2 linked regions of the Oryctolagus cuniculus genome follow. The protein of the gene in region 2 interacts with the protein of the main gene of each other region in a biochemical or structural test. Links are inferred from orthologs where the notes say so. Each region holds a gene or a part of one and is shown on either strand. Other genes may lie near its edges.

The links.
Region 1: the proteins of BCL2L1 (region 2) and BMF interact in a test that uses a peptide from one of them, tested with the Homo sapiens proteins (2 studies listed by BioGRID). The link is inferred for Oryctolagus cuniculus from reciprocal best matches to the Homo sapiens genes BCL2L1 and BMF.

What each region holds. Positions count from the first base shown.
Region 1 is NC_091443.1:63,241,693-63,245,332, forward strand, and holds part of BMF (bcl-2-modifying factor), read right to left. Parts: coding exon 3,625-3,640; intron 2,167-3,624; coding exon 2,006-2,166; intron 1-2,005. UniProt on the Homo sapiens protein: May play a role in apoptosis. Isoform 1 seems to be the main initiator.
Region 2 is NC_091442.1:25,993,063-25,997,304, reverse strand, and holds the start of BCL2L1 (bcl-2-like protein 1), read right to left. Parts: upstream 2,908-4,242; coding exon 2,344-2,907; intron 1-2,343. UniProt on the Homo sapiens protein: Potent inhibitor of cell death. Inhibits activation of caspases. Appears to regulate cell death by blocking the voltage-dependent anion channel (VDAC) by binding to it and preventing the release of the caspase activator, CYC1, from the mitochondrial membrane.

The DNA of each region.
Region 1 (3,640 bases), on a different chromosome or scaffold from region 2:
AGTAGCTCCATCTGCCTGCGGCCTTCACCCTAGCTCTGTCCGCAAGATGCGTGAGCAGAATTAGGGGGCAGGAGTGGGTTAACAGCTAGAGTCTTTTCTAGAGAATTCTCCAGGGAGTAGACAAAAAGTCTGGTTCTTTGTCAGAGAAAATTTTGGAAAACCAGCTCCTTGGGCCAGGAAGGCCTTACTGGCCGACCTCCTGCCGCTGCAAGGCAGCCGCAGGGAGCTGGCACCAGGAACGCAAGAGCCGGCATGGGTGAGGTGCAGGGCAGAGCTGGGGTGGCTCTGGCAGAGAGGACGGTGCCTGTCAGGAACTGACCTGATGGGGAGAAATAACGCCAAGCAGAGAAGTGCAGGACAGGGGTCTCCTCCTCCCGGGACTGTGTTCCAGTCCCACACCAGGACACGGCAGGCCAAGGGAGGCCTCCCACCTGCTCCTAAGCCCCCAGGGGCTCACCAAGGACTAGGGAGGGGAACGCTCCAGGAAACAGCTGCGGAGGGAGAGCGGGAGACTATGCGGGGGAAAGCTGCATGCACAGTCCTGCCGTTGAGCCCAGGAGACTCACAGCCACTGTGGGTCCCAGGACTGCAAGCCGGGAGCTGGGCTCAGGCGCACGCAGCTGCAGGCCTGCACAACCAGGGTGGAGTGAATGGGCAGGAAAGAGGCCAAGAGACTGAAACCAAGAATCAGAGTGAGTCCACACACAAGGGCTGAAGGGGAAACTCGAAGCCAAGTTTCCACAAAACAATCAAAGGAGGGAAGAGGGACTGCAGCTTGGGCCAGAAGAGGCGGCCAGGCTGCCTTATAATGTAAGTGTAGGGCCACCCTCCCTTCCTGATCACTGAGGGACCAGCCGGCCCACCAGGCGGGCGCAGTGAGGGCTAGCCCCAGGTTTCCCTCAGTGCTGCTCGGCAGCGAGCAGAACCACACAACCCCCTGGGCTTGCTCTCAGAAAATCCAAGGCCAATGCCTCTTCTCCCCCTCCTGGTGCTAGCAATGGTTTGGCTCCTAAATCAAACTTGTTACTCCCCTGTCACCTAAAATCCCCCATGCAACCTCAGGGTCTGCCTGGTGATGGTGAGTTATTTATACTCTTGATTTCCAGACACACACACACACACACAGAGTGCCCACTGGCCAGGAACACTGTCCCAGGGATGGGGAGTGCCTTCGTGTCCAGGTGGAGTGGTCCTGCCTCTGCAGTGCTTGTACCAGCAGGGATCCACCCTCAGGCTCTGATCCCTGCAGGGTAGCCTACGGAGAGCCAGCCGGGAAGGAAAGGGTTAAGTGCCTGGGGGCCGGACCCAGACAGTGCTGCAGCAGCGGCCCAGGGCAGCCTCCAGGCTGTGGCACGGAGGGCTCCTCCAGCACGAGCCTGCCAGCCGCCGCCTTTGTTGACCGACCCTGCCACATGCTCGGCTGACACGCGATGCTCCGCCCTGGCGGGGCTGGTGCCAGGCTGCCGGCCAAGCAGCCGGCGGCGGCAGAGCGCCCGGCCAAGCGGCCGGCCGCGGCTCTGGGGAGACTCTATCGGAGGTGCACTCTCCTGAGGCCCCAGCCCCAGGATCCCAGACAGACAGTGAGTGAGGAGCGGCCTCCCCAGCTGGGAAGTGTCAGGTTTCAACCGGTTCCGCCACCTTCCCCCGCTCAGGCCCCATCCCCTGGCCGGCTCACCCCATCCCCTTGCACCCCCAACAGCACCTGGCAAACCTCTCCTTAGGTCTGCGAGACACAGTCCCCCAGCGCTGGCCTTCAGGAGAGAGCCATCGCCTTCCCAGGGAGGGAATGGGCAGGCAACCAACTTGGAGACCAGAGAGAGATGAGGGCAGCAGTGCTCATCTGATCAGCCTAAACTGTCCGTGGGGATGATGACAGCCGAGGCTAACACTCTGCCACCATGCCCTTGAGGCCCAGCAGAGCCAGAGCTGCCGATAGGAGGACAGAGACAGGCGCTGGCTCCTAGGCCCCTCGCGCCCTACCCGCCCCCTAGAGCCCTGTGCCTACTTGCTGTAAATGAAGCCGGTGGAACTGGTCAGCAATGCACTGAAGCTTCCGAGCAATCTGGACCTCTGCTCGATGCTGCCACTGCCCTTCAGGGGGCTGCTCCCCCAGCGCGAAGTTTGCAGGGAAACTGGCAGGGAGAGGGAGCCGGTAGCCAGCATTGCCTGCAAAGAAAAAGGACCCAGCTCTAAGCGGTCTTCTCGCCTGCCCCGCCCTCCACGCCTGCCTCTCCTGGCCAAGCCTTGGGGCTGAGGGTAAACCCCAGTATGGGAAGGGAGAGGAGCCAGTTTGCCTCCACCAGGGAGCTCTGCCAAGCTCGGACAGCCTGCTTGCCTGCTGCCCAAGTGCATAGAAGCTGATGCTGGGGGAACAGAAGGGAGCAGTCACAGCCGTCCAATGGGCTCCCCATTCACCGTCAGGGCAGTGGCAAAGGGCAGACTGGGTGAACATGTAAACCTTCTGTCCGTATTTATCAACCTACACTTGACCACAATTTATTATTCTCAGAGTAGCAGGTTGAAGCTCTTCCCTGGAACAGCACTGCAGGCAGCTCTCCAGAGTTTCCCGGGCTGAGCACAGCCAGGGACAGAGAGAACTGTGAAAAATGTCTTCACTTTTTCAACGCAGTAGAGGAGAGCTGTAGAGGAGGCTTCTGACCCTGTGGGCAGTGGCACAAACTCCTGAGACCCAAACAGATCCAAGTTTCTCTCTGGAAGCGGCCTCGGAGGTGGCGGGGGGGGGGGGGGGGGGGGGGGCGGAGACCGCGAGGCCGGAGCTGCACCCTTACCGCATGCTGGCCTTAGTACCACCGCTAGGGGCGCCAGCCGGCCGCCTCCCCCGCCTCGCCCTCCTCCGCGCCCGCCCGCCGGCCGGCGTCATCCAGCTTCTGAGTGCCGCCAGAACTGCTTGGCAAGAATCGCCCTACGGGGCAGTTCCCTCTGGGAATAACTGCAGCGTCTCCGCAGCCTGGCCCGTCAGACACAGCGAGATAACCCCCAAACCTCCACCCTCCCGCGTAAGCTGCTGTGCTAAGAACAGGCTGCTCTTTTGCCGGAGGAGGGCATATTTCTCCCTAAAACAAATCATTCGAGCCCACAAATGAAGGGGTCTTGTCTGACTTTGCCTTGGACACAGCCCCTCTGCTGGCACGGAGCCCAGGCAGGCCCAACCTCTTTCTCCAGTTCCCCTTCCAGGCACAGAAAGTCCCAAGTGACCACTGGGGCCACTTTCTGCCTTCAGGAACCTTCCCTCCTGGAACCAGCTGGGTTTTCCCCTTCAGTGTCAACAGCGAGTCATGGATCCCACAGATTTCTTTGGGACAAAGTAAATCCCTACCAGGACACAAAAAGGTGGGGGTGGGGGTGGGGGTGGGGAGTGGTGCAGGATGTAAAAAGAGACACCTGGATCCAAGGGATCCTTCCAGGAAGGGACAGAAAGGACAGGGCCATTTGTCCAGGTGCGGGTAGCAAAAGGCAGGGACTTTAGCATCCAGCAGCACTCAGCAGCCCCTGCTGCTCAGTGGGACTTAGGGGAAGGAAATCACAAAGGCAGGCTTGGGCAGGGAAAGTCCCCTCTTTTCCCCCAACCTCTATAGGAGGAGTCCTGAGGCTAAGAGCACTTACCATAAAAGAGTCGCTG
Region 2 (4,242 bases):
AAGGGCCTATGGCTGGTTATGGCCAACACCTAGCGCCCTGCCCACCTCCGTAAACGCTCAGCAAACTCATTGCTTAAGAACCTAACACAATGCCTAATACATAGGAGGGTCTCCGTAAAGGCTAATTTCCTTCCCTTTCCTGTGACGATGCCAAATTTAGACAACATCCGTCGGCAGGCAGAGTGGCCCGTAACTCCTACGCTCAGGGATCCCTCAGCTGAGGCCTCCAGGCTGAGCTGCTACTGCAGTAGCCAGTCACTGCTGCTCAGAGCAGGGTGGCACCTTTCCCGGCTCGCTCGGAGGGCTCTGACTCAAATGTTCTTCACCCACTGGTCTCAGGGGAAGAACACACTCCCAGGAATGGTTCTGACACAACTCGCTCTTCTACACACGTCCTCTGTGTTCACTAAGAGGAAGCGACGTGTGTGTGTGAGTGTGAGTGTGACTGTGTGTGTGTGTGTGGTATGTTGTCCAACGGGCTCTGACATTTTTCAACGAGGCGATGGGAGGTGGAATTTCCATCCAGTGGCGGGCGAATGGACGGGCCCAGGCCTGCTGGGTTTTAGACCTTTTTCACCCGCAACGCTGGGTTGCTGGCAATTCTCTGATTGGGACGGCCCTCTGCAGACTGGCTGGCAGACCAGGCACCTCTCCCAACCTGCCTTTTGTTTATAGCTGGCCACAACTCACCTGGTATTAGGACCACTGGCCAGAGACAGTGGTCAAGGCAAAGTGGGCAACTGGCCCACGTCCCTCCACAGAGATGCCTCCGAGGGTGTGTCTGTAGTACTGGAATCCTGGAATCAGCTGAACAAATATTTGCCCCCAAAGAGAATCAAAGCAGGAGGGACCAGGAGAGGTCATCACACAAAACCCAACAGGAACTGTTTAATCATTTATCCCCCAGGGAGTTCATTTACAGAATGGCTTTTCAAGTCTATCAGCCTTAGCTCCAGGGAGCCTCCGGCCTCTACCACCCCCACCCCCACCCCCACCCCCACCCCCACCCCGTCGCCTACTGACTTGACCCCCTAGCCTTTTTCAAGAGCCTGCTGAGGAGATGAGCTGAAGTTGCAAAGAAACGGGAAACGAGCCAGGGGGTGGGGTTCCAGGAGAAACTCAGGAGGTTTGGCTCCACGGTAAAACCGAGTGCCGGCCACGCCCCGGCCCAGCCCACGACAATCACATTCCTGGCATTCCTGAGTCCAGGTGCGCGGCCCTTCCACCTCTGCTCCCTCAATGGATGACTTATTCCCCACAGCCTGTGGATTTTCTGCATTTTCTGAGGGAACAGAATGCCTGTGTTCCGCACCTCCCCTGGGCAGGGAGACCAGCAAGGAAACAGGACCAACCCCGCCTGCAGTGACCACTGGTGCAAAAGGTCCCTCCACCACCTCCTCGTGACTCAGGGACGGAGAGAGACACCTCCCTGTCTGGACTGGGAGCTCCCTGGCGTCCCTCACTCTGCTCACGCCACCTCCAAGGCTTCCAGGACTCTGCGAGACCAGGCGAGCTGGCCACGTTTCCCAGTGCAGGAAACTGAGGCTCAAGAAAGTAAAGAGCCTGTCCAAGGTCACACAGCTGGCCAAGAGAGAGGGCTGGCGCTCCCACTCACGTCCAAAGTCTGACACCAAATCTCAATGGCCCACAGAGCCCCACAGACTGACTTCTTGCCTTGCCAGCCGGCCAGTCAGAGGCAGAGCAGCTGGAGCTCCTCACCCCACCCCAGGCAGCGAGTGAGGTGCAAAGTCCTGGGGCTTAAAGCGTGACACAGCAAGAGCTCCACAAACAGGCCAACCGTGCAGAAAGTTGCAAGCTGTGTGCAGCACCAACTCAGGAGGTGCAGCACCAACACGAGTGGCACAGCCCACGCTGACCTAGAATCGGACAATTCCGAACCCACCAAGCCACTGGGGGGAACTCCTGCTTGGCCACATAAGAAAACTCTGAAATAAAGGGAAGGAAGCCCAGGTCAGGACGGCCAGTCCTGGAGAAGAAAGGACGCAGCGACTTGTGGGTCCCCGGCACGCCACCACCTGCTCCAGACATTCTGCTTGTCACCCTTTCAAAGCATGGAGAGCCACTGCTCCAGAGTGAGGGGGGCACTGGACCAACCCCCCACTCACAGATCAACACCTCAGCTATTCTGTGCTGAGAAACTGGAAAATAAGCATGGAAGATCAGGGTCATGAGGGTGCCCAGATGGAAAGAACCAGGTCTGGTGCTGAAATGGGGCCAGTGCCTCCAACAGTCATCTAACTAGCAGAAGCTGCAGGGAAAGGCTGCTGGGGGTCCTCTGACAGAGGCCAAAGCACAGGGACAAATGAGGGGTGTGGTTCTTACCCAGCCGCCGTTCTCCTGGATCCAGGGCTCCAGGTGATCATTCAGGTAAGTGGCCATCCACGCCGCGATCCGACTCACCAATACCTCCATCTCCTTGTCCACGCTTTCCACGCACAGTGCCCCGCCGAAGGAGAAAAAGGCCACAATGCGGCCCCAGTTCACCCCATCCCGGAAGAGTTCGTTCACTACTTGTTCAAAGCTCTGATATGCTGTCCCTGGGGTGATGTGGAGCTGGGATGTCAGGTCGCTGAATGCCCGCCGGTACCGCAGTTCAAACTCGTCGCCTGCCTCCCTCAGAGCCTGCTTCACTGCTGTCATGGGGATCACCTCCCGGGCATCCAAACTGCTGCTGTGGCCAGTGGCTCCGTTCACCGCGGGGCTGTCCGCCGGGTGCCAGGCTGGGTTGCCATTGATGGCACTGGGGGTCTCCATCTCTGGTCCAGTCCCTTCCGGGGCCTCAGTCCTGTTCTCTTCCACATCGCTAAACTGACTCCAGCTGTATCCTTTCTGCGAAAGCTTGTAGGAGAGAAAGTCAACCACCAGCTCCCGGTTGCTCTGAGACATTTTTATAATAGGGATGGGCTCAACCAGTCCATTGTCCAGAACACCTGCTCAGGGATTCTCTTCTGTGATCCAAAGCCAAAATAAGGCTCTGAAGGGAGAAAAAGAGCTTTAGGGAAAGAAAAAAAATTAGTATAAATGCCATTTCCCCCCGCAACATCCCCTTCCCCTTCCAGGTACCAAAACTCGTTTCTTTGTGGCTCCTATGAAGGTCTGGGTCTAGGTTCCACGAGACTTCAATGAAGTCAAATTGTAAGCACCACTGGGCTCTGAATCATCCCACTGGCCTCTTTTATCCCAGCCACCCCTTTTTCTCCGAAACGCTGTCCTCGGAAAGTCACCCCATGGGCAGTCCCCCCACCACCACCCGCCGCCCCCGCACCACCTACATTCAATTCCGTCTAAGCCGGCGACAGCAGGCAGGTGCACCCCCGTAAGATCTTTTGTATCATAGGTCGGGAGAGGAGGTGGCGGCAGGCCGGGATGCCGGTAACTCAGCCGGCTTCGCGGCGGCTGGCGAAACAAACAGCTCCGGCCGGAGGGATCATGCGACCCGGCAGGCTGGGCGCCCAGAAGGCGACACAGGAATTGCGACGCTCAGGAACCAGCCCGCTTGCTGGCTTGCTCCTCCATTGCCGGGATCCAGGGCCGCCGCTCCGCTCCGCTCCGCGCCCGCGGCCTCTAGCCACCCGGGAGCCCAGCCCCCTCGCTCTCGCACGCCCCTTGGCTCTCCGCCTCCTACTGGGAGCCAGGAGAACTCTCCCGGAGGTGGCTGCTGTAGGCTTAAGGTTTTTCTTTCTTTCTTTTTTTTTTTTTCCTCCTTCACTCCGGTCTATTTAAGTACCAGCCCTGGGGGAGGTTCCCGAAACCCTGAAGGGACTTCTCAATGGGGCTCAGGGTTTCGATGAGGGACGCGGGGAGGAGAAAGCTGCCTCCGATCTGCCATCTGACTCCGGGAAGGCCACCCCCGGGCCTTTCCGGGAAGCTGAAGGCCGGAGACCCCCAATAAACGCCGCTGATTTTCTTTGAATTCCCCAAAGGCCCTGAACGTGGCGGTGGGGGATTGCCAGGTCCTCCATTCCCCGCCCGGATACAATGGCCGCCGGCGCCCTGCACAAAGACGGGGTGAGGGGGAGGCGCTGGGCCTCTTCTCGGGTCGGGAAGAGGGGTCGAGGCCTGCTTGAGGCCCCCCACGGCTGAGACCACGTTTTCCTAGGGACAGGCCCAAGGCGGCTTCTGGGAGCCCCAAGAGGGCTCGGAGGCCGGGGGCTGAACCTCTCCGGAGCCCGGGGTGGGTGGGCTGCGGCCTTGAGGCTTCTCCCGCTCGCTAGGCCGGGT